Linked DNA regions of Cricetulus griseus. The protein of the gene in region 4 interacts with the protein of the main gene of each other region in a biochemical or structural test. Links are inferred from orthologs where the notes say so. Each region holds a gene or a part of one and is shown on either strand. Other genes may lie near its edges. The genes, in order: Btg2, Fus, Hnrnpa1, Prmt1, Habp4, Fbl and Khdrbs1.

What was found.
Region 1: the proteins of Prmt1 (region 4) and Btg2 form a complex in vitro, tested with the Homo sapiens proteins (2 studies listed by BioGRID). The link is inferred for Cricetulus griseus from reciprocal best matches to the Homo sapiens genes PRMT1 and BTG2.
Region 2: of the proteins of Prmt1 (region 4) and Fus, one has a biochemical effect on the other in vitro, tested with the Homo sapiens proteins (3 studies listed by BioGRID). The link is inferred for Cricetulus griseus from reciprocal best matches to the Homo sapiens genes PRMT1 and FUS.
Region 3: of the proteins of Prmt1 (region 4) and Hnrnpa1, one has a biochemical effect on the other in vitro, tested with the Homo sapiens proteins (3 studies listed by BioGRID, with this or other methods). The link is inferred for Cricetulus griseus from reciprocal best matches to the Homo sapiens genes PRMT1 and HNRNPA1.
Region 5: the proteins of Prmt1 (region 4) and Habp4 form a complex in vitro, tested with the Homo sapiens proteins (2 studies listed by BioGRID, with this or other methods). The link is inferred for Cricetulus griseus from reciprocal best matches to the Homo sapiens genes PRMT1 and HABP4.
Region 6: of the proteins of Prmt1 (region 4) and Fbl, one has a biochemical effect on the other in vitro, tested with the Homo sapiens proteins (2 studies listed by BioGRID). The link is inferred for Cricetulus griseus from reciprocal best matches to the Homo sapiens genes PRMT1 and FBL.
Region 7: of the proteins of Prmt1 (region 4) and Khdrbs1, one has a biochemical effect on the other in vitro, tested with the Homo sapiens proteins (2 studies listed by BioGRID). The link is inferred for Cricetulus griseus from reciprocal best matches to the Homo sapiens genes PRMT1 and KHDRBS1.

What each region holds. Positions count from the first base shown.
Region 1 is NC_048598.1:55,127,899-55,132,325, reverse strand, and holds the start of Btg2 (protein BTG2), read right to left. Parts: upstream 2,815-4,427; 5' UTR 2,721-2,814; coding exon 2,579-2,720; intron 1,372-2,578; coding exon 1,037-1,371; 3' UTR 1-1,036. UniProt on the Homo sapiens protein: Anti-proliferative protein; the function is mediated by association with deadenylase subunits of the CCR4-NOT complex. Activates mRNA deadenylation in a CNOT6 and CNOT7-dependent manner. In vitro can inhibit deadenylase activity of CNOT7 and CNOT8.
Region 2 is NC_048596.1:72,802,761-72,806,525, forward strand, and holds part of Fus (RNA-binding protein FUS), read right to left. Parts: intron 2,125-3,765; coding exon 1,980-2,124; intron 1,834-1,979; coding exon 1,646-1,833; intron 1,434-1,645; coding exon 1,220-1,433; intron 1-1,219. UniProt on the Homo sapiens protein: DNA/RNA-binding protein that plays a role in various cellular processes such as transcription regulation, RNA splicing, RNA transport, DNA repair and damage response. Binds to ssRNA containing the consensus sequence 5'-AGGUAA-3'.
Region 3 is NC_048595.1:399,611,566-399,616,129, forward strand, and holds the start of Hnrnpa1 (heterogeneous nuclear ribonucleoprotein A1), read left to right. Parts: upstream 1-1,555; 5' UTR 1,556-1,698; coding exon 1,699-1,713; intron 1,714-2,266; coding exon 2,267-2,383; intron 2,384-2,618; coding exon 2,619-2,765; intron 2,766-2,909; coding exon 2,910-3,120; intron 3,121-3,519; coding exon 3,520-3,612; intron 3,613-3,699; coding exon 3,700-3,792; intron 3,793-3,947; coding exon 3,948-4,022; intron 4,023-4,224; coding exon 4,225-4,383; intron 4,384-4,564. UniProt on the Homo sapiens protein: Involved in the packaging of pre-mRNA into hnRNP particles, transport of poly(A) mRNA from the nucleus to the cytoplasm and modulation of splice site selection.
Region 4 is NC_048599.1:153,870,308-153,874,750, reverse strand, and holds the start of Prmt1 (protein arginine N-methyltransferase 1), read left to right. Parts: upstream 1-1,513; 5' UTR 1,514-1,584; coding exon 1,585-1,620; intron 1,621-3,848; coding exon 3,849-3,902; intron 3,903-4,107; exon of another isoform or gene 4,108-4,207; coding exon of another isoform or gene 4,208-4,210; intron 4,211-4,394; coding exon 4,395-4,443. UniProt on the Homo sapiens protein: Arginine methyltransferase that methylates (mono and asymmetric dimethylation) the guanidino nitrogens of arginyl residues present in proteins such as ESR1, histone H2, H3 and H4, FMR1, ILF3, HNRNPA1, HNRNPD, NFATC2IP, SUPT5H, TAF15, EWS, HABP4, SERBP1, RBM15, FOXO1, CHTOP, MAP3K5/ASK1, MICU1 and NPRL2.
Region 5 is NC_048596.1:281,797,964-281,801,728, forward strand, and holds part of Habp4 (intracellular hyaluronan-binding protein 4), read left to right. Parts: intron 1-2,006; coding exon 2,007-2,178; intron 2,179-3,765. UniProt on the Homo sapiens protein: Ribosome-binding protein that promotes ribosome hibernation, a process during which ribosomes are stabilized in an inactive state and preserved from proteasomal degradation.
Region 6 is NC_048602.1:7,928,232-7,932,479, forward strand, and holds the start of Fbl (rRNA 2'-O-methyltransferase fibrillarin), read right to left. Parts: upstream 2,882-4,248; 5' UTR 2,745-2,881; coding exon 2,735-2,744; intron 1-2,734.
Region 7 is NC_048595.1:23,290,816-23,294,580, reverse strand, and holds part of Khdrbs1 (KH domain-containing, RNA-binding, signal transduction-associated protein 1), read right to left. Parts: intron 365-3,765; coding exon 240-364; intron 1-239. UniProt on the Homo sapiens protein: Recruited and tyrosine phosphorylated by several receptor systems, for example the T-cell, leptin and insulin receptors. Once phosphorylated, functions as an adapter protein in signal transduction cascades by binding to SH2 and SH3 domain-containing proteins.

The DNA.
Region 1 (4,427 bases), on a different chromosome or scaffold from region 4:
AATTTCCTGGGACTATTGCACAGTGATTGAGAACTCCTGTCCTAGGAAATGGGGCCCTCCAGGACCCAATCACATGAAAGAGGGGAGCGGGGAACAGGAGTCTTGAGGAGAAGGCAGTAAGAAAGGACCCGGAGTTCCCTGGAGCTTTGAGCCACCTCTCAAAGGAATAATGGTAGCAGCATTCGGACTTTCATGTGGTTCCCAAAAGCAGGGTTTAGGAAAAGGGAGGGAGAGAACCATCCCTCTTTGGGTCCCAAAATTCCATTGCAAATCACCCCTAAATTATTTGCCATCCATCCATACAAAGCAGTGCAGCACAGAGCAGAGCAAAGGTTTTGTGTGGTTCCCTCCATCTATACCCAAGTCTTTGCACACCTGCCTTACATCCCACCCTCCAAATATGTTCATATAGATTCCTGGCTGGGAAACAGCCTTTCCAGGTCCCCAAGGGTAGACTCAGGAATGAGACAAGATTTCAAGAGAACCTGCTCAGAACAGAAGGAACAGGAGAGGTCGTTCACTCTACCCAGGGTCTCAGCAGAAACACAAAAGAAGATTAGGCAATGTAGTATTATTTAAGACCAGGCTTGAATGCCCCTGAGTAAGAGAGGAACCAGGCATCCAGGCATCCAGGCATCCAGGCATCCCAGGAAAGATCCTGACCCCTCTCATTCACAGTTGCTAACCTTCCTTGCTCCCTTTTACCACCTCCTGGGGGATCAGCCAAGAATCCCCCTTTACCTTGGCTAGGCCAATCCCCAAACCACTCCTCTAGGCAAACACTGGCTCACAAATTCAATAACAGTTCTTTCCAAAGGCACCTGGGGAGGCCACTTCCAAGCAGCTCCCTTTAAGGATTTTTTTTTCTTTAAAAAAAAAAATCTTTTGGTTTTTTTTTCTCCTCTTTTCTTAAAAAAAAATAACATGTATAAATAGCTCTTCATTTAAAAATACAGTTCCCCAGGTTGAGGTATACGGTGGCCTGTTGTCACGGCAGCATGAGTACAGTAGAGTGCCCGGGTAGGGTGGCTCCTATTTAGCTGGAGACAGCCATCACATAGTTCTTCGAGGGGCTGCTCCTGCCCAGCATCATTTGGTTCTTGCAAGTGAGGAGCCCATAGGAGGCAGCGACCGGGGCCTCCTCGTACAGGACACAGATGGAACCGTCCTCACCGATTCGGTAGGACACTTCATAGGGATCAACCCACAGGGTCAGCTCACTGGGCAGCAGCCGATGTAGCTGGGGCTGGCTGAGTCCAATCTGGCTGGCCACCTTGCTAATGATGGGGTCCATCTTGTGGTTGATGCGGATGCAGCGATAGCCAGAGCCTTTGGATGGTTTCTCTGGAAACCAGTGGTGTTTGTAATGATCTGTGGAGGAAGGACAAGAGGGAGATGCTTTGGTTAGAAAAGTATTGTCTCTGATGTTTACCACAAGGGGAGGATGAGAGTAGAGGGCCGGGAAAAGAGGAAGGGCTCAGTGACAGTATTTCAGAGCCTCTCCTTAAACTCCCCCTGCCACTTAGAAAGATCCCTGGGCCTTTTCCAAGGACATGTACATTGGAAGGCAGCCCCAGAGCTTTCAGGTAGATGCTCTCCCGGGGGTCAGGGATATTTTTGGCACAATCCAGCTTAAGGAAGGATGGGCTAGTATGAACAGGCAGGGTCTCTGAGAACCCAGACACTGAAATTTCAAAGCCCAGTGAGCGACCAACATTGTTGGGTGTCCAGCAAGTCACCAGGCCTCCCATCCCTCCCCCACCAGAGGAATCATGAGATCTCTAGCAAAGGTAAGGGAATAAAAATGGTTTTGTTTTGATGAAACAGCTGTTGGTCCTCAGATCTGTGCCAGCATGTTGAGAGATGGCTATCGCTGCCCAAGGCAACCAACCAGCTATAACAGCTGGAGGCAGAGGCGAAAGGGCTGCTTATCACTCCTCCACCTCCCTGCCTCACACCCTGCCCTGCCTCCATAACTCGCACCCCCACCCCCACCCCCAGCAGGCTAGGCTACTGGACTCTTTTCTGTACTACAATAGGTGGCAGATGGTGAAGAGGAACCAAAAGAAATAAATACAAAGGGGGCCCAGATTACAACTTCCAGCGGGTAAACAAGCAGCAGAATGGTCCAGGACAATGGTAGGCCAAGGACTATAACAACAGTGTTTGGGACTCGAAAAGTTCAATTGCGCATAAAGTCGCATAGCTTGACCTGGCTTCGTGGCCCACAGCATCCCCCAAGGGTCTGGACTGGAGGTCTCCAAGATTCAGAGAAAGAGTTGAGTTAGGAACCTGAGCGCAGACCACTGGCTCTTTCCGTGGTGTTGTTAGGGACTCAGAATGTACTCAAGGAAGAGGGTCAGCGCCCTGGGAACGAGGCGGCGGGGACTGGAGGGCGGGGAGGCGGAGATCTAAACCAAGGGACGAAGGACAACAGGCGGCCTCGCAGATTAGAGCAAGGCATTTGAGACCAGGCGCCGCTCGCGTAGGGGTCTCCGTCCCAGAAACAGTGGGGAAAGACACCCCAGGCAAGGAGGGGCCGCTCCCCGGTGGCTTTGGGACCCCGACGTGCGCTCACCGGTCAGTGCGTCCTGGAGCGCCCTGCTGAACACCTTGAGTCTTTGCTCGCTCACGCAGCCCCGCGTCCTCAGGAGGCTGGAAAGGAAGCCGACGGCGGCGGCAATCTCCGGGAGCATGTCTGTTCTCTTCCCGTGGCTCATGCCGGGCGGCTGGGTAAGGAGCTGTAATGTCCAGACGAGGGTGGTCTGGCCGCCGCTCGGGCTCTGCCCGGACTTTCCTCCGGCTGCGCCTTTCATACCGCTCGCGGAGGCGGGGAGCCGCAGGCGGCGCCCATTGGCCGAGGCTGGCGGATGGGGGCGTGTTCTCTAGCTGCCCCGCCTCTCTTCTCCGCCGCCCCCCGCCCCCGCCCTCCCGCCTGCCTGCTCGCCCGCGCCTCCCGGGCGCTGAGGTCATCGCTCACTGACGTCAGTATTGGGAACCAGCACCGGACTCCCGAGCGGTGGAAGACGGGCGGGAGAGGGACCAGGACCTGGGCAGAGGAAGCGCGCCACACCGGGCATGCCCGGACGTCGCCTCTGCACAGTTCCAAGGCAGCGGTTGCCTGCCACCTCCTCCAGGATGTCCTCGCCGATGCTACTTCTCCCACGCCTCCCCAAAACAGACACTCTGGCGCCAGGTCATCTCTGCCACTCTCTCCCAGCTGGTCAGAACCGGCTCCTCATGTTTTCGGCAATGGGGATTGTAGTCTATTTGCTTCCATAATAATTCCACCTTACCCAACAAATTCTGCTCTTCCTCTTCAGCAATTGCCTAAAAGCAATCAGCTCTCACTGGTGTCGCAGTGGGAGGAATGTCGAGGAGAGACTTTTCTGTCCATTGGGTTATTTTTCCAGTTCTCACTTCCCTTTAAGTGGCTTTTTTTTTTTTTTTTTAAGTAGTCTGGTGTGAGCAGTACAAAGTTTTCCGTTGGCCCTCTGCTCCTCCCTCTTCACTGATTCGTCTTCCTTCCTCTTTGTGGATGAAGGCTTTTGTAAATACTATCTCCCCAGAAGAAAGGCTTTGGCTCTGGCTTCGTCTACACTTGGGGGCTCAAGGACTGGTACCAGGAAGCTAGGCAGACTATTGAATGGGCAACTTGTCACCCACACCTCTGAGCCCAGCACAGGATCTGACCTGCAATGAGACCCTGTTTGTTAAATGAACTTAGCTCCATGGCTTGTGTAAAATCCTGAGGTTGTGTGTGTGTGTGTGTGTGTGTGTGTGTGTGTGTGTGTGTGTGTGTGTGTGTTTGTTACTGAGAAGCAGCGCCCCCAGGCTTCTCTACCTGTCCCCACCAGCTTCCCTTTCTGGGTCCTTTGTGCCCTTCCCACCCTGTGTTCCCCTTCCCTTTTATTTCTGCTTCCTATCCAGAGCTCTCCCTTCTGCTATTTATTTTTCTTCAGTGAATTTCCACGTCAGTACTTCCATCTTTTTCATGCTGTCCCTCCCTGTGGATGTCTAGTGCTGCCCTCCCTGGTCTTCCTTTCAGCCAAAGCTATGATCACTACCTCTACCTCAGACCTAGTCCCAAGACTGATGCCTTCTTACCCAGTCCTGCCCCAAAAGGCCTTCCCTGGGGGAATAGAGTCCTTTTCCTAAGGACTCAGAATATGAGACAACTACTCCACTTGCTAGACTGTCTGGACTCCTTTCCCTGGCGCCTAAGACATTTCAGCATTTTGTACGACCTACCTTTGTAAGTTTCTACCACTTGGTGCTATAGGGTCCCCTTTCACTGTCTTCTAAATAGCACAACAGCTCTGCCTCCTAGGTCCTGCAACATTTCCCCATTATCCGTAGCTCTATTACATGGTCCTCACCTCACACATCCCTGGCCCAGGTGCACCGTGGCTTGCGTCTTTAACTCA
Region 2 (3,765 bases), on a different chromosome or scaffold from region 4:
CCAGAAGACATTTCACACCAGGCCCCTGGGATAGCCCTGAACACATTTTGTTTGTGTGGTTTTTGCTTTGAAAGCAGCAAGCAGACCCAACCCCATTCCATAAAAAGTCATAACCAAAGGCAATTTTCCCTTAGAGCAAGACAAACTCAGCTAAGCCCTAACTACTGAGCTGTTTTTGATCACCCTTTACCCCCGGGGTCACCCCTTCTACACTGTGAGAAGAGCGGAGTATTTTGCAATGTCACCTTTCATACCTGTGGCACATAAAATGCAGAGCAAGTTAACAGTCACATAACAGTTGCTTTTCTTTTTAAAGTTTTGCATTAAACACACGCACACAACTAGTTTTTTCCACTTTTCCATGTTTCTTGAGACTTCCCCCACCCACCTCTGAATACTTACCACGTACAAACTCAAAAAAAAACCTACTATTTTCCAAAAAAAGGAACATATGACTGACATTTTTTTCCCCATTCAAGGGAAGTAACAGGGTCCTTCAAAGTCACCAAGAGATTTGACAAACTGTTTTAACATCAAATCTAAGGTTTTACTTTAACAAGGAGAGATCCAGTTGGACAAGCTCATTTTAACTGACCGAGAAAAGATGGACAGTGGAATAAGAAAGCAGAGTACCACTGTCAAGTCTATTTTGCCCCAAAAGTTTGCACACTTCAGTCAGAAGACCCCATAAATGAACCAAGTCACACACAAAATCAGTCAAATTAGTGCAAATCAGGCTCACGGATTCAAGTAACTACAGAATATGGATGAGTAAATAGCCAATTCCTAGAAGCTGAGGTCAAGTTTACCATTATTACCAACTCCCCTGGAGGACACATGGGAATACACAGGACAAGTTTCCCCTAATATTTCCCAGGAATGGGATTAATAGGTTTCCCTTGCAGAGAAGTCTTTACTCCCAAGTTTTTTTTTGCCTGAGATAACAATGACAATCCACATGTATCTATGTATATTCTTTTTCTTTAGAAATAAATGAACCAATACTCAAATCTCTACTCAAGAGCTGTAAATGGGATTTTGGCTCCCAAATTCTCACAAAAACATAATAGGAATATACAAAGAAACACTACTGCCCACAAATTGAAGCCCTTACATATCCCCAGAAAACAATACTAACCATGCACTAGGGACTGACTTCAAGGGAGATCCATGCATCACTCCCCCACAGAAGGTACTCCCTGACTCACGAAACACCTACCCCATGCCGCCTCTGCCTCCTCTGCCACCTCCACGGCCTCTGGGTTCATAGCCACCACTGCTTCGGTTGTAACCACCTCCACCGCCCCTGCCACGGCCCCCACGGTCCTGCTGGCCTCCCCCGTAGCCACCACCGCCGCCACCACTCTGGTCCTGATTGCCATAGCCACCGCCGCCGCCACCACTCATGGAGGACTGATCTTGGCCATAGTTGCCTTTTAAAAAAAAAAAAAAAAGTTAGTAATAATGCTTTAAAAAAAGCTTAGCACTACTTAGCATATACAAACTTCTGTTTCAATTGTCAGCAACAAGTGAGAGGATAGGAAGTATGGAAATAAATGGTCAATGATAAAAATTAGAAACTTAGTAAACAAGAAAAGGGGCAAATTCATAGAGTAAGGAGGCAAAACTGAAGACACTTTCTCACCTCCACCACCCCCTCCACCACCTCCACTGCTGCTGTTGTATTGGTTCTGTTGTCCATAACCCTGAGGTGGGTTGTAGGAGCTTTGTTGTTGTCCATAGCTTTGCTGCTGTCCACCATAGCCAGACTGTTGGCCATAGCCTCCACTCTGGGGCTGTCCATAGCTGCTGCTCTGAGAACTGCCACCATAACTAAGTGGAAAACAAAGAAAACCAGAATTATGCTGCAAAACAGCCAAACACTTGCTTCACTTTTAGTCCATTCCCTTTCTTTACTCCTCAGAGATCAAACAATTCACCACCATTTTCTGGCCTTATTCACACCCATACTACCTTACCTTCCTGAGGTGCTGCTAGGAGCTGGCTGTTGGCCATAGCCAGGGTAGGAGGACTGTTGCCCATAAGAAGATTGGGAACTTTGGCTGCTGCCATAGCCTCCAGTGGAACCATATCCCTGGGGAGCTGACTGAGTGCCATAGCCTGCTACAAAGAAAACAGGGTTACAAATGCTATAAAGGAAAAAAAAAGCTGGGCATTGGTGGCACACACCTTTAATCCCAGCACTTGGGAGGCAAAAGCAGGCGGATCTCTGTTGGTCAGCCTGGTCTACAGAGAGAGTGCCAGGACAGGTTTCACAGCTACAGAGAAACCCTGTCTCGAAAAAACCAAAAAGATTAAAAAAAAAAAAAAAAAAGCCAGGTATAGTTGTACTCTTTAATCCCAGCATTTGGGAGACAGAGGCAGATTATCTCCCCTGATTGATGCCAAACTGGTCTACATATCCAGTTCCAGGTCAACATAAGGCGGCATGCGGCAAGGAATAACTTAAAACATTATATACCTCCCAGCACTCACCCATTACTTAAAAAGTAGGTCAGCTAGTAAGCAATTTACTGACAAAGGCCAGCTACCAGGAGACTGGGGCAGCAAGGTTAGTTTATGGCCAATCTTGGCATCTTAATGAAACTATCATTTTTTTTTAAACCGACAGGGTTTCTCTGTATTGTTTTAGAGCCTGTCTTGGAACTCGCTTGGTAGACCAGGCTGGCCTCGAACTCACAGAAATCCACCTGCCTCTGCCTCCCAAGTTTTGGGATTAAAGGCGTGTGCCACCACCGCCCTGCGCTGTGAAAGTCTTATCAACCTGGGTTCAATCACCAGAACCAGAACTATCATAAAAGTTAACCCTAGAAAGCTGTCCTTTGACCTATACATATGCAACACGTAAACAAGCATGCCTGAACTCACACAAAATAAATAAAAAATACAGAAATCATAATGACTGCCTAGTTTAAAAAAAAAAAAAACTTCTGTAGAGCCAGGCAGTAATGGCACTCGCCTTTAATCCCAGAACTCAGGATACAGAGGCAGGGAGATCGAGTTCAAGGACAGTCAAGACTACACAGAGAAATCCTGTTTTGAAAACAAAAACAAAAACTCCTCTGTAAATTTTGAAACTCACCAAATCCAGTGTTTCATGCCTACAATGTAGAACTGTTTCAAGCAGAGGAGGAGTGAGCTGGGGATGTAGCTTAGCTGACAGAGTGCTTGCTTAGTATACACAAGCTCTGGGTTTCATCTTCAGTACCATATAAACCAACTATACCTTTGATTCTAACAGTTCAAGGCCATCCCCAAATACACATGTATCTGGCCAGCCTGCCCAACATAAGACTTTGTCTCAAAACAAAAATGTCTTTAATTGGTGCTTTGATGTTGACTACCATTTTTGCTGTTTTTTTTTTTTTTTGTTTTCTGTTTTCTTTTAAACAAGGTCTATGTAGCTCAGGTTGGCCTCCACCTCAGATTAGCCTGTTTCTGCTCCCCAAATGCTGGGATGTTTTGCCTGCCTGGTGCCCTCAGAGTCCAGATGAGGGCATCAGATCCCTTGATTGGAGTTACAGTTATAAGCCATGTAGGTGCTGGAAAATGAACACAGATCCTCTGGAAGTGGAGCCAGTGTTCTTAACTGCTGCTGGGCCATCTCTCCACACACCCACACAACCCCTCCCCGGCTTTTCATTTTGGTTTCTCAAGACAAGGTTTCTCTGTGTAGCCTGGCTACCCTGGAAATCACTCTGTAGACTAGGATGGCCTCAAACTCAGATTCATCTGCCCCTGCCT
Region 3 (4,564 bases), on a different chromosome or scaffold from region 4:
TTTCATTATTCCATTAATGGCAATCACCCCTCAAATATCAGACATACAAACAGGCCTCTACCCCACTGTGTCAATAGAAGCAATACACTTCGACCTGTAGCTCTCGAAAACTTTTTCTGTGGCCATAGAAATACAGATGTGTCCCTGGACACCGGTGGTAGAGGTAAGTCTATTTTTCTCGGAAGCTTTCCATTACAATACTTATGTAGCCATTTCAACCTAAAACTTTAATTAAATGTTTTCCTTTAAGAATTTTCAAAAACTAAAGCCTCCCTCCCTAAGTTCTTCAAAATATCAAGTGAAGGGATCTAAAAGAGCAAGAAAAATGCCAAACTAGAGGGGAACAAGAAAACATGCTTTCGTTAAGGTGATGTAGGGAATGATTGCCTCCACTATAGGAGTCATTGTAGATAAAATATGCACCCCTACAATTCCCTCTGAAGGCAAGATGCCTCTCTTTCAAGGAATCTCTCCATTTACTTGATCCAGGTTTGGTCCATGGATTTAACCTCCCGACTCCCGCGCTCCCCACTGGAGTCCAGCCTCTGCCGCTTGGAGAAGGCCGGCCTATCGCGCGCTTGGAGCTCATTGGCTCTGAGAGACGCCACTCGGGCGGGAAAAGCCCGCCTCCCGCATTCGGATGGCCCAAGGGCCGATCCGTAGGCAGCTATAGGAAGACCCAATTGGCCTATACACTCGTCAGTCAAACGCTCTGGTAGCGCAGCCCAAAAGGACCTGGCAGAATTAAAACATCCCGCCCCCGTTCTCCCATTGGCTGGCCCGACCCATCGCGGCCCCTTCACTGTCGCTCCCCCAAGTCCAGCGGGGCCCATTCATTTCGTACAATAACGAGTCCAATTGGAGCGGGTCCAGGAACTCCCACGGTTAGTCAAGACTCTGCCACTTACCCGGGATCTACAGTGACCACTCACACTAAGGCCTGCGCGGTTCCTCTGTGGTAAAGCTGCACCACAAGCCACCCGCTACCGCCGCCTTCTGCGCAACGCCAGCCGCCCGCCAAAACGGATCCTTTCCCTGCGCCTGCGCAACCAATCCTGGGCCCAGACCTTTTCTCCGCCCAAAACGCCTGCGCAAAGCAGGACGCAGCTCCCGCCAGTACGCAGGCGCCTTAGGTTCACCGCCCTCTCCCGCCCGCCGCCCGCCATTTCACGTGTTCAGTAGGCGAGCGGAACTCCTTAGTGCGCCGGCGTAAACTCGCCATTTTTATTACACATGCGCTCTCCGGGCAGTGGCTGCAAAAGTGGTAGCGAACTACTTTTCCTAACGTGTCGTGTTTTGCCAAGTGAGGTTATAATGTTCGGACGCTGGGAAGTTATGCAAGGCGTTTAAAGACATGGGTACATTCAAATATAAACCACTGGTTAGCTAGTCAATCAACCTGGTTAAAAAAAAAATCCCCCAGAGCGTCGATGACTCCGAAGGGCGGAGACTGCGTAGAACGCCCCAGCAGATGCCATCTCTTAGCAGGGCGGATCCACAGACCTAGAGTGGGCGGGAACAATTCCAGATCTCCAATCAGAGTAAGGCCAGGGCGGAGTCTACCAATGCCGAAAGCGAGGAGGCGGGATAAAAAGGCGAGCCGAAGGTAGGCTGGCGGATACGTTCGTTGACTTACTCCTTTCTGCCTGTTGACGCGGCGGAGGAAGCATCGCTGAAGGCTCTCGTTTCCCTGCCGTCATGTCTAAGTCGGAGGTGAGTTGTGCGCGCTCTGCGGCTTCGTTTCCTTCCATACGCAATGAACAGGACGGGATGCGACCTATTTTTCTGGCTGGCACCCATGCTTTCGGTGTTTGATCGGTCGTTGCCGAGGCCTGCTCACAAAGTGCAGGTCGCCATTTTGTCCTCGTAGTCGCCATGAGGCTGCCGTCCGCTAACCGCTAGTTTCCACACTCGGCTCCTAGTGGCAGAATTCACAGATATGCGACCTTGGGGGTTGTGGCTCTTTTTATTTTCTTTCTTGGCTTTGCCTAACTAACGTCTGCTAAGGCTTCAGTAAGTTTTAATGGCGATTGACCAGTCCAGCCCGTGTCTTTTGTTGCGCGTGCGTATAGAGTAGGGACGCATGCGCTGCATGCTAGTCCTCCCCCCCACGCCCCAACAGCACCTCCTGGCCCAGAGAGGAGCACGTGGTCTTGTGCTGTAATAAAGAACAATAAAAAAGTGCGGCCTATGTTGATGCGTGGAGTTGATCCATTCGCTCAAGTTCCAGCCCCTTAGCTAACGGCTCTCCTTTGATCCGATTCAGTCACCCAAGGAGCCGGAACAGCTGCGGAAGCTCTTCATTGGAGGGCTGAGCTTCGAAACAACCGACGAGAGTCTGAGAAGCCATTTTGAGCAATGGGGAACACTCACCGACTGTGTGGTAAGATTAGAAGGAACAAAAGGCGGGGCTGGTTTAATTTTATTGCTTTAATCATGCCGCACTTCTTACCCAGATGCTTTGTGAAGGTAATTAATGGTATAATTTTAAAAGGATCTTTGTTTGGGGGCCTTATGCTTGAGTCTAAATGGAGTTTTATGCTGGACATGTTCAGAGTTGGAATGGCCTCAGGTCCTGATATCAGGCAATATGTTGATTGAATTAACTCTATAAACAGGTAATGAGAGATCCAAATACGAAGCGATCCAGGGGCTTTGGTTTTGTCACGTACGCTACTGTGGAAGAAGTAGATGCCGCTATGAATGCAAGGCCACACAAGGTGGATGGCAGAGTTGTGGAACCTAAGAGAGCTGTTTCAAGAGAAGTGAGTGTTATTATGCTAATAGTTGGGTTCTCTTTTATCTAGACGCCAGATAGACCCCTAGAGTGCTGGGATTAAAGGCGTGGGCCACCACAGCTGCCAATCATTTGAAATGTACTAATAATGACTGCATCATTTTCCTTTTAGGATTCTCAAAGACCAGGGGCCCACTTAACTGTGAAAAAGATCTTTGTTGGTGGTATTAAAGAGGACACTGAAGAACATCACCTTCGTGATTATTTTGAGCAGTATGGGAAGATTGAAGTGATTGAAATCATGACGGACAGAGGCAGTGGGAAAAAAAGAGGGTTTGCTTTTGTCACCTTTGATGACCATGACTCTGTGGACAAGATTGTTAGTAAGTGTCAGATAATTAGATTTCTCTCCTCCTCCTCCCTCCCCCACAAACTGGGAATATTCTGTAGCTTTGGGTCCTTTCCTGGAAATGAGACCCGCCCTCAAACTCAGATGGCCTGTCTCTGCCTCCTGAATGCTGGGATTTATGGGGTGTTCCACCCCCCAGCCAGATTACATTTTTCTTTTGGGTGGATTCGAGACAGGGTTTCTCTGGCTTTAAAGGCTGTCCTGGAACTAGCTCATGTAGACCAGGCTGGTCTGAAGCTCAGAGATCTGCCTGCCTCTGCCTCCTGAGTGCTGGGATTAAAGGCGTGGGCCACCAACACCCATCGTGCTCAGATTTCTTAATGACTGGGACTCAGTGTGTTTAAAGCCCTAAAGTTAACTTTTTTTTTTTAAGTTCAGAAATACCATACTGTGAATGGCCACAACTGTGAAGTGAGAAAAGCCCTGTCAAAGCAAGAGATGGCCAGTGCTTCATCCAGCCAAAGAGGTATCTCTTGCTTAGTTAGAACTTGCAGAGGGTAGTTGGGTTGTTGCTGCAAGTTGGTCTAATGTAATGATCCAAACATCTCTTAAGGTCGAAGTGGTTCCGGAAACTTTGGTGGTGGTCGTGGAGGTGGTTTTGGCGGCAATGACAACTTTGGTCGAGGGGGAAACTTCAGTGGTCGAGGTGTGTACCTTTTGGATTTCTTAATTGCTTTTGGAACGATGGATAACTGCTAGTCTTTGTTTATAGCATTTAGATTTTACCCAAAACATAAGTTTTCGTTACACAGAGATTAGCATTTGCTTCATTCATATACCTAAAGCTCTGGTTTCTTACAGGTGGCTTCGGTGGTAGCCGTGGTGGTGGTGGATATGGTGGCAGTGGGGATGGCTATAATGGATTTGGTAATGACGGTAAGTTTCTTAAGGAATCCGTAAGTAAAATTTCTAGCAACCTATACCTTTAGACTAGGCTAGTAGACACTAAACCTAGTGCATGACAAAATCAACCAGCCCCGTAATACGCATGCTGTGAGCAGGCCATTAGTCATTACACTTGCATAGATTTTTATTGTTAAATACTTTTGTCTTATTGAGAAGGCTTGTATTCTTGTAGGTGGTTATGGAGGAGGCGGCCCTGGTTACTCTGGAGGAAGCAGAGGCTATGGAAGTGGTGGACAGGGTTATGGAAACCAGGGCAGTGGCTATGGCGGGAGTGGCAGCTATGACAGCTATAACAACGGAGGAGGCGGAGGCGGCTTTGGCGGTGGTAGTGGTAGGTATCCAGTGATGCAAGTACTTGGTGTGATAGCTAGATTAGCCTTAGTTTATACTCCTGTGGACTTTAAAGCTCTTAAAGCATTGTGGGTACACTGCATGGTACATTGAAATAGGCTTGCTGTGCTACCTCCTCCTGGCTTTAAGCTGGGGCCGCCTCCCCCAAAGTAAGTAGGTGG
Region 4 (4,443 bases):
AGGTGGCAAGAGCCGCAGGTAACTAGGGTGGAACTGTAAAGCGGGAATGGAGGTAGTTTAAGGATTGAGACATTGTCCTGGGGGTGCAGGGAGGCCCAAAAAGGCCATAGGCAGAGATGAGCTGCAGGGATTGGCAGGTGGGAGCACTAGGGCTGAAGGCCTTGGGGATTGACAAAACTGACGGAGGGAATTGGAGGGAAAAGCCCAGAGGCTATTGATATTTGGGATGAAGTAGCAGGATAGGCAGGAGTCAATCAAGAAATCATACTGAACCAGGCAATGGTAGCGCACACTTTTAATCTCAGCGCTTGGGAGGCAGAGACAGGAGGATCTCCGAGTTCCAGGACAGCCAGAGAAATTCTGTCTCGAAAAAACAAAAAGAAAAATCATACTGGCTGGAAGAAGTTTACACAAGCCTTAAATCCCAGCACTTTGGAGACAAAGGCAGGCTGTACCATGAGACTCTGCCTCACACCAGATACCTTACGTGTGCAGCAGATGGTGCAGTGCTTGCCGCTCAAGACTTGACACACGCACGCACACGCACACTAAACAGTGTTAGGAGTCGGAAGGAAGAAGGTCATCTGAGCACGAGGAGGCCTGGAGTGGAGAGGCACATTTGGGAACTTAAAGGACCCTGTGCTTGGGCCGAGTACTGGTGGGACAAAAGGTAAGAGGCAGGGGCACAAACCCAGCAATTGGCATCCATCTTCAGGCCAGGAGTAACTTTCTGCAGATCCAGGGAAACTTCCTGGAGGAGATGGAGTCCAAATTGCCGCGTGGGAGTTGGCCAAACAAAGGGAGATGGGTGTTTCATGCAAAGGACTAGGAGGCCACAGGTCTTCAGAACTCGGCACAGTCCAGTACAAGGTTATGGCTCATCGCACTGACATTCACTACGACTCCTGACAAGTTTCAGGACCCCTGATGAGAACGCCTCCACATCTACTCACAGCGACTCGGCATTTTCCCCTAGCTCGCCCACGCGCCCCAGTTCCGGAGAAGCCACCGAACGTTGATGACTGATGTTCCTGGGAGCCAATCGCTTCCGCCCAAAGCCCCGCCTACCTCCTTGTGGGCCAATGGTCCCTGTCGTTCTTGGCCAGTCTCTCGAAGGGACTGGAACAAGAGCCCTGCAACGTCACGTTTTGCTCAGCTAATTGCGGCGACGGAGAGGCGGGCCATCTTAATGATCCACAGCAGAGTCTCTCGACATCCGCTTAGCGCGGAGCCCGCCGGGAAGCTTCAAGGCGGAGCTGGCCGGAAGGAGGCGGGAAGACCTGGTGGGATATCCTCCAATCATCACATGCGCTGCCTAAGATAGACAGACAGTTGTTCCCTTCCTAGCCGACAGGAGGGGGTGGTCCTTTGAACGCTAGGAGGGGAGGGCGCCCGAATTTTGATAGACGTGCTCAGCGCCCAATTGCAGTGCGAGGCGGTTAGATTGACGGCTGCGCCAGCCATTGGAAACTTATGGCGGGGTCTCGGGGGCCGGGCGGTGGACCCTCTGGTAAAAGGCGGTCCCCGGCCGGGGGGAGAGAGAAGAAAGGGGGGGGTCTCGGAGGCCGGAGGACTCGGGTGAAGATGGCGGCAGCCGAGGCCGCGAACTGCATCATGGAGGTGAGTAGCTGGGCTCTTTAGGCCAGTGGGTAGGGGGAGGACGACGGGTTACCCACGGCCTGAACTGTGGAGACGGGGCCTTGGGTGTGCTGGGCCTCGCGGAGGTCCGCATCGGGGGATGTGTTCAATCGTGACCGGGGCGACCCCAGCTTATGGGACTCTCGGACCCCGCAGTCGAGTCGAGGGCCGTCGCACGTGGTCGCGGGCCGGGGGCGCGTCCAGCCGGGCCGCACGTGGTCGCGCAGCGTAGCGTGGGGAGGGGGGTGTGCCACTCGAGGGGCCCCGCGGGTTCCACGTGCGGGACAAAGGCCCCGCCCCCGGCCCGGTGACCTGGGCTGCACTCCGGGGGTCCTGGGGGGTGCCACCTGCGTCCTGCTGTCCGCTGGGTGGTGGACATCCGTGCACCCTCGTGGGGCCTGACCTCACTTTCCTCCACTCTGAGTTACCCCTGTGCGGTTGGGGGGGGATGGGCAGAGCCCTGTGACCTCTCTGTTAGAGGATGGTGGGGCATCTCCACCGAGGAGATCCGGATCCGGCGCCGGGCACCCCCTCGTGGTCATTATGGGCTTGTGAAAGGGGCTCTTTTTCATGGGGCGTGGCCCAAAGCCCACCCCCTCATGGAAGCGCCCTCGGGTGGATGGTCAGAGGTCGGTCTTGGGGCTGGATGGCTATGTAGGCACGCAGACCAAGGGGCCTTGACCCCCACCCGACCCCTTTTTTAGGATTCTCACCTTTGCCTAATTTCCCCCCCAAAACAGAATCAAATTCTAGCACCTGGCTTATTTGCTTACAGTTGAGTGTTTCCACCCCTGAGCTGTATTCCTCAGTCCACTTTTTACTAACTTTGATGCAAAGTGGGTCTGGCCTTGAACTCACCCTGTAGCCCAGGCTGGCCTTGAACTTGCCATCTTTGCTTAAGCCTTCCGGGTAGCTCTCGTGAAAGACTTCACTACTAGGCCTGTAAATCAGATCCTCTCCTAGTCTCAGGTTTCAAACCCTCTTCAGGAAGCCGTGTGGTGGTGCATGCCTTTAATCCCAGGACTCGGGAGGCAGAGACAGGCGGATCTTTGTGTGTTCAAGGCCCATTAGAACAAGTTCCAGGACAGGCTTCAAAGCTACACAGAGAAACCCTGTCTCAAAAAAAAAAAAAAAAAAAAAAGCCAGAAACAGAACAAACCCTCTTCAGTCAGTTGTTAACCTGCTGGTATCTGTACTACTGAAAAAGAGAGGCCCACATGGGAACTCCCCCCACTGGCTACCCGACCCCTGAGGTGGTAGATCGTGGCCTCTCTGGCCTTAGATAGCAGTCATCTATCTAATGGGATAATGATGGGATATAATCTGGTGGTACCCATACCTCTTCAAGTTCTCTGGAGAGGAAGGTCAGTTGCTGGGACACCTGCCATGGGGATCAGTTCGCCTACAGTGTCACTGAAGTGACCCTGGGCCTGGCACTTGTGGACAAAGGAAAAAGAGGGCAGTTTTCAGTGTGGGGACCAAGGTGGGGTGTGAAAGGGGGGGCTTTCGTAAGCTCACACGTGGCGGTGGGGCTCAGGCGGATTTTGGCAGAAATATTTATCGTAACAGCTTGCCCCAGCTTTCCAAGGCATATTTTGTACTCCTGGGGGGCAGCCCTCTTCCGGGGGCAGGTAAAACAAAGAGCCTTGCTCTGTGTGTTCCTTGCCCGGGTGGAGCTGGGGTGGTGTACTCACTGTGGTGTGGGGGTATGCCACATTTCTCTATTGGAATGATCTTTGGCCAGGAGACAGGATTGTGATGGGGCAGACAGGTGCCCAGCACCCATTACCTGTCAGCCCCCTCCGGTTTATTCATGGCACTTCAGCCTGGTGTGTCTGTCAGGAAATGTCACCTAATCTAGGGGGGATTAGGTAGTGAAGGGGAGCAACAGCTGAAAGTGCCCATGTGCCTTGGCAGGTATTGGGCCCTCTGGCCTAGATAGGGTAGGTATGTGTGGCCAGTTATCTGACCAGAGAGGGACAACATGGGGCGGGCCACCATCTCTTCAGCCAACAGCTGGGACAGGAGACCCCACCTTCCTTTCCCTCCCCACTTGTATCCCTTCCTTACACAACTGCAGCCACACTGCTTGCTCCTGCTTACACCACTCCCATGCCCAGGAAAAGCCAACCTGCAAAACACTCACTGCCCCAAAGGCCTTCCCCAGCCACCCCAGTAGCTAACCCTTTTTCCCTGTTACTCTCTCCTAGAATTTTGTAGCCACCTTGGCTAATGGGATGAGCCTCCAGCCGCCTCTTGAAGAAGTAAATATCCTTTTGTGAGACCCCCCCAGCCCACTTGCATATAAGCATACTTTGATATGCACCTGGCTCCTCAGGAGGTCTATTCATCCTCTTGCTTCAAACCAGTTTCCCCTGCTGTGGCCCCTAAACACATAGGACAGACCCCTTCCTGGCCCAAGCTGGCTCCCCCAGAACCATGGCTGCTTCCTTAACTCCATCTCCAGCCCTCCTCCTCTGGCTTTCAATGTGTCTGCCCTGGCTCTGCCCTCCCTTCCCTCCCTCCCCAGCTGTGGGCTGAGCTAGAGACGGGCATAGAGCCTGGAGAGATGGTAGGCGAGGCGGCTGCTCCCTGGATGGTGCTCTGGGTGGGTTCTGAAGTGGATACCGTCCCTTGGGAAGAAAGATGCCGGAGGGGGCTGTAGGGCTGTCCCATTCTGAAGAGGGGCCTTCTTGCAGGTTGAGGAACCTCTGAAGAGCCCACCTGTGACCCTTTTGCTACTCCCCCTCTTTCAGGTTTCCTGTGCTCAAGCAGAAAGCAGTGAGAAGCCCAATGCTGAGGACA
Region 5 (3,765 bases), on a different chromosome or scaffold from region 4:
TGAGGTTGTGTGTGCTGCCGCTGTGAACCATTCGTGTGTTGGTTTTGATATGGATGCATGTTCTCATTTCAGGTATCAAATTTCTGGGTCATATAAACTGTGTCAGAAAAAAAATTTTTTTTTGAGAGAAGATCTCTCGATGTAGTCTGTCTTGGAACTTGCTATGTATCCCCAGCTGTCCTGGAACTCACTTTGTAGACCAGGCTAGCCTCAAACTCACAGATATCCACCTGCCCCTGCCTCCGGAGTGCTGGGATTAAAGGCGTGTGCCACCATACCAGATTCTAATATTTTGAAGACCCACCAGACTGTTTCCTAAATTGACACATCACATTCCCCCAGCAATATACCTGGGCTCTAATTTTTGACATCCTTGTTAATACCTGTTAGCCTCTAAAGACACCTTTTTTCCTTTTGTTCTTCCTAAAACAGAATTTTTATATGTATGAGTGCTTCACCTGCATGTATGTATACATGTATGTATATGTACCACATGAGTGCCTGGAGCCCATGGGGTCCAAAAAGGAGCATTGGATCCCCTTGAATTAAGCCATAGCTGGTTGTTGTAAGCCACCAAATGGTTGCTAAGAGCCAAACCCAGGTTTTCTACAAGAGCCGGAAGTGCTCTTAACTGATGAACCATTTCTCCAGCCTAAGTGCCTTTTTGATACTAGCTGTCCTATTGGATGTGGACTGGTGTAACTCCTTGTGGTTTGAGCCACCTTTCTCTGATGACTAATGATACTGAACATTTGAAAAGTTTTTTGTTTGTTTGTTTGTGTTGCGATAAATCTTTCTGCCAAAAGCTGCCTGAGCCCCACTGCCATGTGTGAGCTTTATGTCAGCCGCCCACCAAAGTTAGGCCCAAATGAATACACAGAAACTTGTATTAGGTACAAAGCTGCTTGGCCAATGACTAGGATTCTCATCTGTTAGCTCAGTCTTAATTATCATAAATCTATATATGTTGTAAGACTTATCTTATCAGATGCCTTATTGGCGTCCCTCCTTGCCGGTGGCTCACATCCTGCCGCTGGAGGAGGCGAACGGGAAAAAGGGATGCTTCCTGTTTCTCCTTCGCTTAAATATGAGTCTCCTTGCTATGTCACTTCCTGCCTGGATCACCACTTCTCTACTACATTTCCCAGAATCCTCTTTGATTCCTAGTCCCATCTAACTTTGCTGTCTCATTGGCCAAACAGTATTTTATTCAACAATCAATAAGATAAACATACACAGTACATACCCCATCATGTTTGTTTGTTTTTGTGTATGTGCATGCAGTTCTTTTGGAAGCCAGAAGAGGGTACAAGATCCCCTGGAACTGGTGCTGTAGGTGCTGAGGATTTGGACTTAGGTCCTTGTGCTTGCAGAACAAGCCATCTGCTTGCCTGCTTCAAACATTTAAAACTGGGTTTTAAACATCTGGCTTTAAACATTTGAAACGTTTAGCTAGGATGGGGATAGAACACTTGCTTAACACATGTGAGCCCCTGAGCATTTGGAATGCTCCACTTAGAGCATTCCAAAAAGTCTACACTAAAAACCTCACTCAAAACTGAGTCATAGAAGAGAGTAAAAAAAACATGAACAATTTTCAACAGATTGTGATGAAATTTTCAGGAAAATATGGAAATATATAATGAGGTTTGGAGCATGGTCTTGGAGGGAGTCTGAAATAATATCCATTTGCTTTTAGAACCAACTGTAGGGGATATTTTTGTGACCCATTGTTTTAAGACTTCTGTCCATCTACCTTCAGGAAAGGTGCATGATGGTATAATTAATGGAAATGTCATGGGGCGATGACATCATTTTCATCTGTCTTCAGTTTTCAATGAAGGACAGGATGGTAAAGCTAAAACTCAGAAGATGTGACTCTGAGGGCTTGGGCTACTTTTAACCCTATTTACATTTCCGATGCAATACTACAAAAGTATAACTTTTTTTTCCATAGACATTTGGTCCCATTGGCCAAAAAAATTTGTTTTAATGTGCCATTACAGAGCTCCTGAGTTGGAGGTAGAAGAGGAAAATCAAGTCCATGAGATGACCTTAGATGAGTGGAAAAACCTTCAAGAGCAAACCAGACCAAAGCCTGAGTTCAACATCCGGAAGCCGGAGTCCACAGTTCCTTCCAAGGCAGTGGTGATTCACAAGTCCAGATACAGAGACGATGTAAGACTTCTGTATTGTTGACCTCATTGGGCACAAAACAGACCTCTCTCAGGGATGTGAAAACAGAACCTTGCTACTTCCCTCAAAAAAAAACCAAACATTTATTTTGTGTTGGGGTGTGCATGTGGAGGCCTGAGGAGAACTTGTGGTTCTCAGGAATAAAACTGAAGTCATCAGCCAGGCGGTGGTGGCGCATGCCTTTAATCCCAGCACTCGGGAGGCAGAGGCAGGTGGATCTCTGTGAGTTCGAGACCATCCTGGTCTACAAGAGCTAGTTCCAGGACAGATTCCAAAGCCACAGAGAAACCCAGTCTCGAAAAAACAAAACAAAAAAAAACCAAAAAACTGAAGTCATCAGGCGTTAGTGCCCACTTAGCCATCTTGCTAGCCTTCCACTTAGCGTTCTTGTTGTTTCTGCTCAAGCATCATGGAAAGGAACAGAACTTGGTGCCTTGACAATACTGAAGACACAGGTGCAGAGGGTTCTGCTCACCTTGGTCTCTTTATGAGAGAGGCTCAGCAGCTGTTTCAAAGGTCACTGACTGTATTTTGATGATTAGATTGCCATCCTCTCAGGTTCTTTTGTTTTAGACAGAGTCTTTTGTATGTAACCTGGCTCTCCATCCTCCTGCTTCTGTGCCCTGAAGGCCAGGATTAGAGGTATGGACTACCATGATCCTTATCTTTCACTCTCATTCATAATGAGTATTCCATTGGGTCAGTAGATCCCTTGAAACAATACCTGGGAACCTACATTCTGTGATCCCCTTGTTACTGTATTCCAGAAATTGCTGAGAATTTCCTAGATTGCTCATGGCATAGTCTGAGGGCATTATTCAGGTCTTGTGTGTTGCACAGGCCTTATTCTTCATGCTCTCTCTCTCTCTCTCTCTCTCTCTCTCTCTCTCTCTCTCTCTGTGTGTGTGTGTGTGTGTGTGTGTGTGTGTGTGTATGTATGCACACTTGCTCATGTACGTATCACTCCACTATACATAGCTGTATCTCCCCAACCCAGCATGGGGGTTTTTACCAGATGCCTGGACAGAGATGACCAGGGAAATATCAGTGGGTAATGACAAGGCTGATCACTTCATTCTTCTTTAGTTAGTGAACTTACAAGGAACACTGAAGTGTCAGGTGTAGAATTCAGGATTCCTGTTGTTCAAGTCACAGCACGAAACAGTGCAGATTGTGGTGATGAGCAAAATCATATTCCCTGCTGAATATGATTTGTTGACTGCCAGTCAAAGTTCAGAACACCGTAATTTTGTCTGTGTTTCATGCGCATTTTGGTCAGTTATATTTTCTGAGTACTTTATTTAGAATGCTGTTGGTGACACATTATGTCCACTCAGCCTCCTGTTTTGGTCAACTCATGGTCTAAAACACTTTACTAATAAGTTTTGAGATATTCGACCAAAGACAGTTTTTATAGACATGAGAGGCCAGAGCTAGCAGCAGCATGTAGGTAGCATGTCTTTTTGTTGTTATTCTTTTCTGTTGTGAACATTAGGAATAAAGCTTCCTGAGAAACCACTGTGCTGTAAGGCTGGGAAACAGGTAAAGATAGAAGCCAATTCCTCAAAT
Region 6 (4,248 bases), on a different chromosome or scaffold from region 4:
ATTCAATTCTGGCACTCTCGCTGGCCCTCACAAGTTCCAAATGCACAACGAATTGTAAGATTCTGGTTACCAAAATACCCCAGCTCCCTGGACAACATGAAGCTCAATAAACATCAGCAAGTGTCCGGCCATCTCCCCAGAGGCTGGTGATTGGGGGGAGGGGTGGGGGAGGCGAGTCGTGAGGATGGCCACGCCATTGTCACCCAGGACCCTATCGGGGAAGGTGCATGGGAGTCTGTTGTAAAATCACATGACTTTGTATGCACACAGAGTATATAGGATAACGGAGCCTGGCAAGTTGTGGGTGTCTTCCTGGAGAGCAGTGGGCCGGGGGGGGGGGGGGGGGGGGGGGGGGCCTCTCAGCCCCAGATACTCAACATGTCTCTTGGTCTATTTCAGGTCCTGGAGTTTTTAGGAAAATGAACAAAAAAGACTCCATTACTCAAAGAGATGGCATGCCCACAATCTTCCCTCTAGTAGCTTTCCAGCAGAGCGAGGTATCACCTGCCCGCAATCCCACCGCTTGGGGAGGGTGAGTTTGAGGTCAGCCTAGGCTATACAACAAGATCCCAGTTCAAAACACAAACATAAAAACAACAAATGGCCTTGTTTAAAAATGCCCACCAGATTCTACAGCACACGTCTGCTTAAAAGTCTCCCCCAGCGAACTCTTGCTCCCCAGACTGACAGCTGGGAAACCAGCATGGGACTGATCCAGACCCCAGGAACATGGGTTTCAGTGGGAGACCTCAGAAATCTACAGGACCTCCTGTGGTAGTTCAGTACTTATCCCTAGCATACGTGTGGACTTTGGGAGCCCATTCCACATAGAGGGACACTCCCTGAGCCAAGACACACTGGGGTGGGCCTAGGCCCTATCCCAAAGGATATGATAGACTCTGATGACACCCTAAGGAAGGCCTCACCATCCAGGGGGAGCAGAAAGGATATGTAATAGATAGGGTTTTAGTGGGGGGGGGGTGGCAGGGGAGGAGGGAGGGAGAAGGGAAACTGGGATTGTCATATAAAACAATCTTGTTTCTAATTCAAATTAAAAAAAACTGAAAAAAAAATCTCCCCCAGCTGGTAATGGTGGCACAGGTCTTTAATCCCAGCACTGGGGGGAGAAGAAGCAAGAGGATCTCTGAGAGTTGGAGGCCAGCCTGGTCTACAAAGCAAATTCCAGGACATCGAGGGTGGTTACACAGAGAAACCCCATCTAACTCAAAGAACCAAAAAACAACAACAAAAAAAAGCAAAAAACAAACAAAAACAACAAAAGGATTCCTCCAAAGCTGGTTCTGTCATCCAAGACAAACTGTCACCACACAACTTCTTCCATCATTTGGTAGAGAAAGGTTGGAGGGAAAAGTCCTCCTGGGGCGGGGTGGGGGGAATCACAGAGCACAGGATAGCCGTAGAACACACAGCAATCCCTCCACCCTCCTTCGCTTCGCCAGACTTCCCCAACGGGGGGGGGTGGGGGGGGGATCCCAGAAATTCTATTCAACATGCTTGGGAGGGGAAGATGGGTCACTATACCCTGCACTGGCTCTCATCCGTCTACAGGAACATGTGGGCGCACGCCAGGCAAAAACCTGCCATTAGCGAAAACTGATCCTTGGGCACCGGTGCAAAGCTCATGCTATCATTACTGTAGCACACGCTGGTGTCAAACTCCTCACCCACCTACCCCAGCTTCCCGAGTACCGGGACTGACAAGCATGGGCTGCCACAGCCCGGAGTCACACATTACCAAAACAAAACAAAAAGCCACTTAAGCATTAAGAATCTGAGAAAGAAGCCGGGCGTTGGTGGTGCGCACAACTTTAATCTCAGCACTCGGGAGGCAGAGGCAGGAGGACCTCTGTGCGTTCGAGACCAGCCTGGTCTACAAGAGCTAGTTCCAGGACAGCCTCCAAAGCCACAGGGAAACCCAATCTCGGAAAAAAACCAAATAAAAAAAAATCAGAGAAAGAAAAGAGACGCTCCTACTGTCAAAACCAGAACGCGCACCAGCGTCCACCGTGCGGTGGATTCATCCACCAGAAAAAGGGCGGGAAATAAAGGAAACATTTTTGTCCCGCCGGGCGGCGGTGGCGCCCGCCTTAAATCCCAGCAATCGGGGGAGGCAGAGGCACTGGCGGATCTCTGAGTTCGAGGCCAGCCTGGTCTCCAGAGTGAGTTCCAAGGCCAGCCAGCGTCTCCTAGCGAGACGCAGTCTCAAAAAACTCAGACCAACACCAACCGCTCTCACTTCTGATCGCCCTGCCGGCTAAGGCCAGGCTTGCAAAGCGTCTCGCGGCGCCGAGCAGGGGCTCCCGACCCCCCGATCGTCAGCTCCTCCGGGGCTAGGACCCCGCCCCTCCCGGAAGCGCAGCGGGCGAGCGAGGGAGAGAGAGGGCGAGCCGCGCACGCGATCGCCGCGCAGCACCGCCCCGGAGGTCCTCACTCGTCCCCCCTGGGGCAGCGGTGACAGCGGGAAGAGGGAAGCACGCGATCCGGAGCCGTCCCACCTACGATCCAAGCCGGGTGCCCCTCTCTCCCCCGCCCCGCCCCGGAGCCGGGGTCAGGAGGGCCGGGATGCAGCGGCGAGGCTGCAGGCCGGTCTGTGCGGTCACACTCCCCGGCTCCCGAGCAGCCCCCGGCCGCCCTCCCTCCCTCCCTCCGTCCGTCCGTCCCGCCGCGGTGCCCGGAGCCCCGCTCCAGCCCGTGCCGCCGCCGCCGCCGCTACCTGGCTTCATCGCTGCGTCCCTCCCGGCCGCGCGGCTCCCGCAATCAGCAGCGTCCCCGGACTCCACGCGTCTCCGGCGCTCGCACGTGGAGAGGAGCGCATGCGCGGGGCGACGCGCGGCGCGTGACGGCAGCGCGTGGCCCCGCCCCCGCTCCCCTCTCCCGGAAGTGCCGTGCCTTGGGCGGGAATTCTGCAATCTCTGCGGGCTTCCCTCGCCCGCCCCGCCGCGGCGGCTTTTTCGCTCTAAGAGTCAGGGGTTGGTTATACTCGAACCGTGGTTTATTTTATTTTTTTTTCTCGAAGGTTTGCTTATTATTTTTTTTTTACACTTTAGCCCCGGAGGCGTTCCGGCGGCACGCCGCGTTGTCTGTGCACCACGCGCGTGCTGTGCAGAAGAGGGAGGGCGGGAGGGCAGCGGATCCCCCCTGGAGCTGCAGTTGCAGGCGGGGGTGGGACCCGATCCTGCGTCTTCTGCAAGAGCAGCGTGTGCTCGTTTTGCAGCGAGGCCCGGGCCCGCCCGGAACTTGAAGATCTCTGGGTCTCCAGGCTGCGCATATGCGTTTCCAACCCCCTCTCCCCCCCCCCATTTGCTCCTCACTACCCCTGCTCCCTACCCCTGGCCTGTTTCTGGAAATCTTCAGTCACCCTAATGTCGCTGCAGCTGCCTCTAAATTCACTGCCCGGCTGTCAGCGTCCTGGCTACTGCTGCTTGGCCGGTGGTTCTGCCGTCTGTCCCTCTGCGCGCCATGGATCCCGCCCCCTCTATGATAAAGATCCCATCGGTGGAGCAAAGGAGTTTGCACAAGGCCCGGGGTTAGTGTTGCACCACCAGGGGGCAGCACGGGAGCCACCTGGTCTCCAGGAAAATAGTCCCAAAGAGCCACATCAGGGCTACTGAAAAGACCCCATTTGCACCAACACCAGGCTTTTTGTTGCCTTATCAGGCAAAGGGTTTACCCTTGGGCCTGGGTGAAATGGCCGCTGAGGTTTACAGAGGCTTCTGATGGCAAAAAAAAAGCCGTGTAAATAGGCAACAGTCAGGGCTAGAATAGTGCCTGCTCCAGCAGGAGTTGTCTTTCAGAATTAAGTGGTTGTAGACGTGTAGCTTCCAGGAGGTGTCTGTGGAGCATCCAGGAGCTTCCAGGTTGCTATGACAACAGGCCAGGTGGATGCCAAGAGGGGGCTGCTTGGATGGTAGTCATGACAGCCAAATGCCAGGGAAGGGCTGGATGGATGGTTGTCAGGGTCACCCTAGCCTCCAACATACTCTCTTTCCTTTTTAAAGACAAAATAAGCCTTAAAGGGAATTCTCTTTTTTTTGTTGTTGTTGTTTGTTTTGTTTTTCGAGACAGGGTTTCTCTATATAGCTTTGGAGCCAGTCCTGGCACTCGCTCCGGAGACCAGGCTGGCCTCGAACTCCCAGAGATCTGCCTGCCTCTGCCTCCTGAGTGCTGGGATTAAAGGCGTGCACCACCAACGCCCGACTTTTCAAGGGGATTCTTACCATAAAATCC
Region 7 (3,765 bases), on a different chromosome or scaffold from region 4:
TTACTTTGGTCTTAGAGCCTGAACAAACATATGAAAAAGAAATTACTTTTGATTACTAAAAGTAATTGTTTCCTTGTTAACTACAATTATGCTATTAGTTATGGACTTTGATATCTTAACTTCCAGAAACAGGTACTTCAAGCACAGAGGAGCTTTACAGGTGGGATAACATGGCGAGCCCATATCTTCATCACCAGCCTAGAAGTTAACTCACACAAGTGAGCCGCTTTGACACTTACCTTTGGATACTGCTTGACAGGTATCAGTACCCGTTCTTTCAGCTTCATGTTCTTATGAGAAAACAAATCCAAGTAATTCTCCTCGTCATCTTTTTTTGACTCACCCTTCTGAATCTTCTCAATTTCTGAATAAGAAAAGCAGAACTTAATTTTTGTACTTGTAAATAAAGGTACCTGGCAAGACTGCTTAAAACAGTATTATGAAGTGCTGTGTAAAAAAACCAAACAGTTCAGAAGAATGTGCTAATTTTAGGCAGACTGGATGAGACACCCAAAGCTTTATGAAACTGACTGGGGGACCCGAATCCTGCTTTCCACCCTCCTCTCCTGAAGTGTCTGTGCCCTCCAGTCACATGTTTCTTGATGAGAGCACACGCATGCTGGGCAGTGGAGGAGCACACCTTTAATCCCAACAGTTAGGAGGTCAGTGAGTTAGAGGCCAGCCTGGTCTACAGAGTGAGTTCCAGCATAGCCAGGGCTACACAGAGAAAACCTGTCTCAAAAAACTAATAACACCAAACAAACAAACAAACTAGAATACATGCATTAGCCAGGAGTACCAGAATTTAGGAGATAGAAGCAAGTAGATCTCTGAGTTCAAGGCCAACATGGTCTACAAAGTAAGTTCCAGGACAGCCAGGGCTACACAGAGAAATCCTGTCCATAAATAAATAAATAAAACAAAAGAGTATGCATTTATCTAAATTAATACAGAGAGATGAGGAAAGAGAGAGAGAGAGAGAGAGAGAGAGAGAGAGAGAGAGAGAGAGAGAGAGAGAAAGAGGTAACTGGAGAGATGCCTCAGCTAATAGGGTACACACTGCTCTTCAGAAATCTTGAGTTTAGCACCCATGGCAGAGTGAATCTCAACCGCCTCTAAAGATCCAAGGATCCAAAGCAGCCTTTTGGACTGCATGAGCACTGACACTCACAAATAAAAATTAAAGCTAAAACTAAATAAATACATACCCCACACACACACACATATACATATATAAAGTCTGGGCACGGTGGCTGTTTCCAGCTAATTGACCACAACAAATTACAGACCTTTCTTCCTTCTTCAGTCCCAAAGTTTCACTTGACCAGTTAAGAGAAAGAAGTTTCCCAATAAAGAAATAAAGACTAGCCGGGCAGTGGTGGCGCACGCCTTTAGTCCCAGAAATCAGGAGGCAAAGGCAGGCGATCTCTGTGAGTTTGAGGTCAGCCTGGTCTACAGAGTGAGTTCCAGGACAGGTTCCAAAGCAATAAAGAAACCCTGTCTCGACCTCCCCCCCCCAAAAAAAACCAAAAACTAGTATTTAAATATAATAACAGACAACTCCATTACCATTCCACTATAGCAATAATAGTTGTTTTCTATTTTGTTTGAAAGACCCTGCTCTTTCTCTGTCACACAATAGCTGTCAAGTTACTTAACTGCCCTGCATATTTGCTTTCTCATCTATAAAATACAGGCAAAATTGGGGGCTGGAGAGATGGCTCAGCGGTTAAGAGCGCTGACTGCTCTTCCAGAGGTCCTGAGTTCAATTCCCAGCAACCACATGGTGGCTCACAACCATCCGTTATAAGATCTGGTGCCCTCTTCTGGTGTGCAGATATACATGGAAGCAGAATGTTGTATACATAATAATAAAATCTTTTAAATAAAAAAATAATACAGGCAAAATCAACCTATAAGGACAGTGACAATGCAGTATGCTGTGCCTGCCTGTGGTCCCCGAACTCAGGAGCCAACCAGGAGGATCACTTCAAAGTTTGAGGACAGCCAAGGTAAATGAGACCTTTCCTAAAATAAAAAAGAAAAATTTAAAAAGCCAACTAAAAAAGACAAGATCAAAGTTTATTCCTTAGTATGTGAATAATATAGTTATTATCTAGACCAAACTCAATATCCAAAACAAGAAAATACAAAAAATTTAAAAACAACAGAAGGGCTGGAGTGATGGCTCACTTGCTGCTCTTTAAAGCACCCAACGGGTTCATTTCCCAGAACCCACATGGCAGTTCACAACCACCAGTAACTCCAGTTTGAGGAGATCCAATGCCCTCTTCTGGCCTCCTTGGCTAAATACACATATGCAGGAAAAATACTCATACACAAGAATTTAAAAGAAAAACTCACTGGAAGACTGAAACAAAAATGCTGTTCATAGTATATACCACAAGAAGTCTAGAGATAAACACACACCCTAAAACCATCATAACCACCAAGGCCACAGACATAATCGGAACAAAGGTACTCTGAATTTGCAGCTTCATTAAGATGGGAACTCTTGGCTCTGCTTGCATCCCCAAGTACAGGGCTCCTCTTGCTTGCATCCCCCCTAAGTACAGGGCTCCTCTGTCATTCTTAACTACTGAGATGTAATTAGGCCCTTCAGTTGTAGCTTGTGCCACTTTGCAGAAACCTTATTTAACCAGGACAAGAAGACTCAAAAGCTGGACTGATGGTAGGAAAGTTTGTCTAAATGCAATGTAACATACTCTATAAATTTAGGGCCTCCCAATGACACAGAATTACTTTGATATATTCTGAACTATTACTGGATCTTAGAATCCTTTTCCTATTTTTCCACAATTTTTTAAAGAAAATAAAGCATTTTAGAGAATTCACAGAATGATCAATAAAACTTCAAGTTGACGTAGGGCTGGGGAGATGTGTTAGTCATTTATGCTTGATGCACAAAAAAAATGATAATAGGAATTTAACCACCCACACACACACACCCACACACACCCACCCCTGGATGAGGTGACATGTTCCTGTAATCCCAGATCTGAGGATATGAAGACAGGAGAATGGGGAATCCCTGGGCTTGCTGGCCACCAACCTAAAACAGTGAGCTCCAGGTTCAGTGAGATTATCTTAAAAAATAAGTAGCAACAGCTGGGCAGTGGTGGCGCATGCCTTAAATCCCAGCACTCTGGAGGCAGAGGCAGGCGGATCTCTGTGACCAGCCTAGTCTACAAGAGCTAGTTCTAGACAGCCTCCAAAGCCACAGAGAAACCCTGGGGGGGGGGGGGGATTAAACAAGTAGCAAGTACAATAAAAAAAATAAGATAAAGAAGCACTGAGAAAGACACAAGACATTGAACTGGTTCCACACATACATGCAAAGGAGTCAGAACAGCCTAGGAAGCAAGAGTAATAAATAACCTGAGCCTTCAACAAGGGTCAGCTTCCATATTTAGAAGTAGAAGAACTGAACATTTATTCAATACCTAACAAATATTTCCCCTCACAAAACCTCTCTAATAGGGGACTGGAGAGATGGCTCCGAGGTTAGAAGCACTGCCTACTCTTCCAGAGGTCCTGAGTTCAATTCCCAGCAACCACATGGTGGCTCACAACCATCTGTAATGAGATCTGGTGCCCCCTTCTGGCCTGCAGGGATACATGCAGGCAGAATACTGTATTCATAATAAATAAATCAAATCACAAAAACAAAACCTCTGTAATAGTTGTGGGTGTATATTCCCATTTCATAACTAAGTTATCAAAAGCTGCAAATTAGTCACTTGT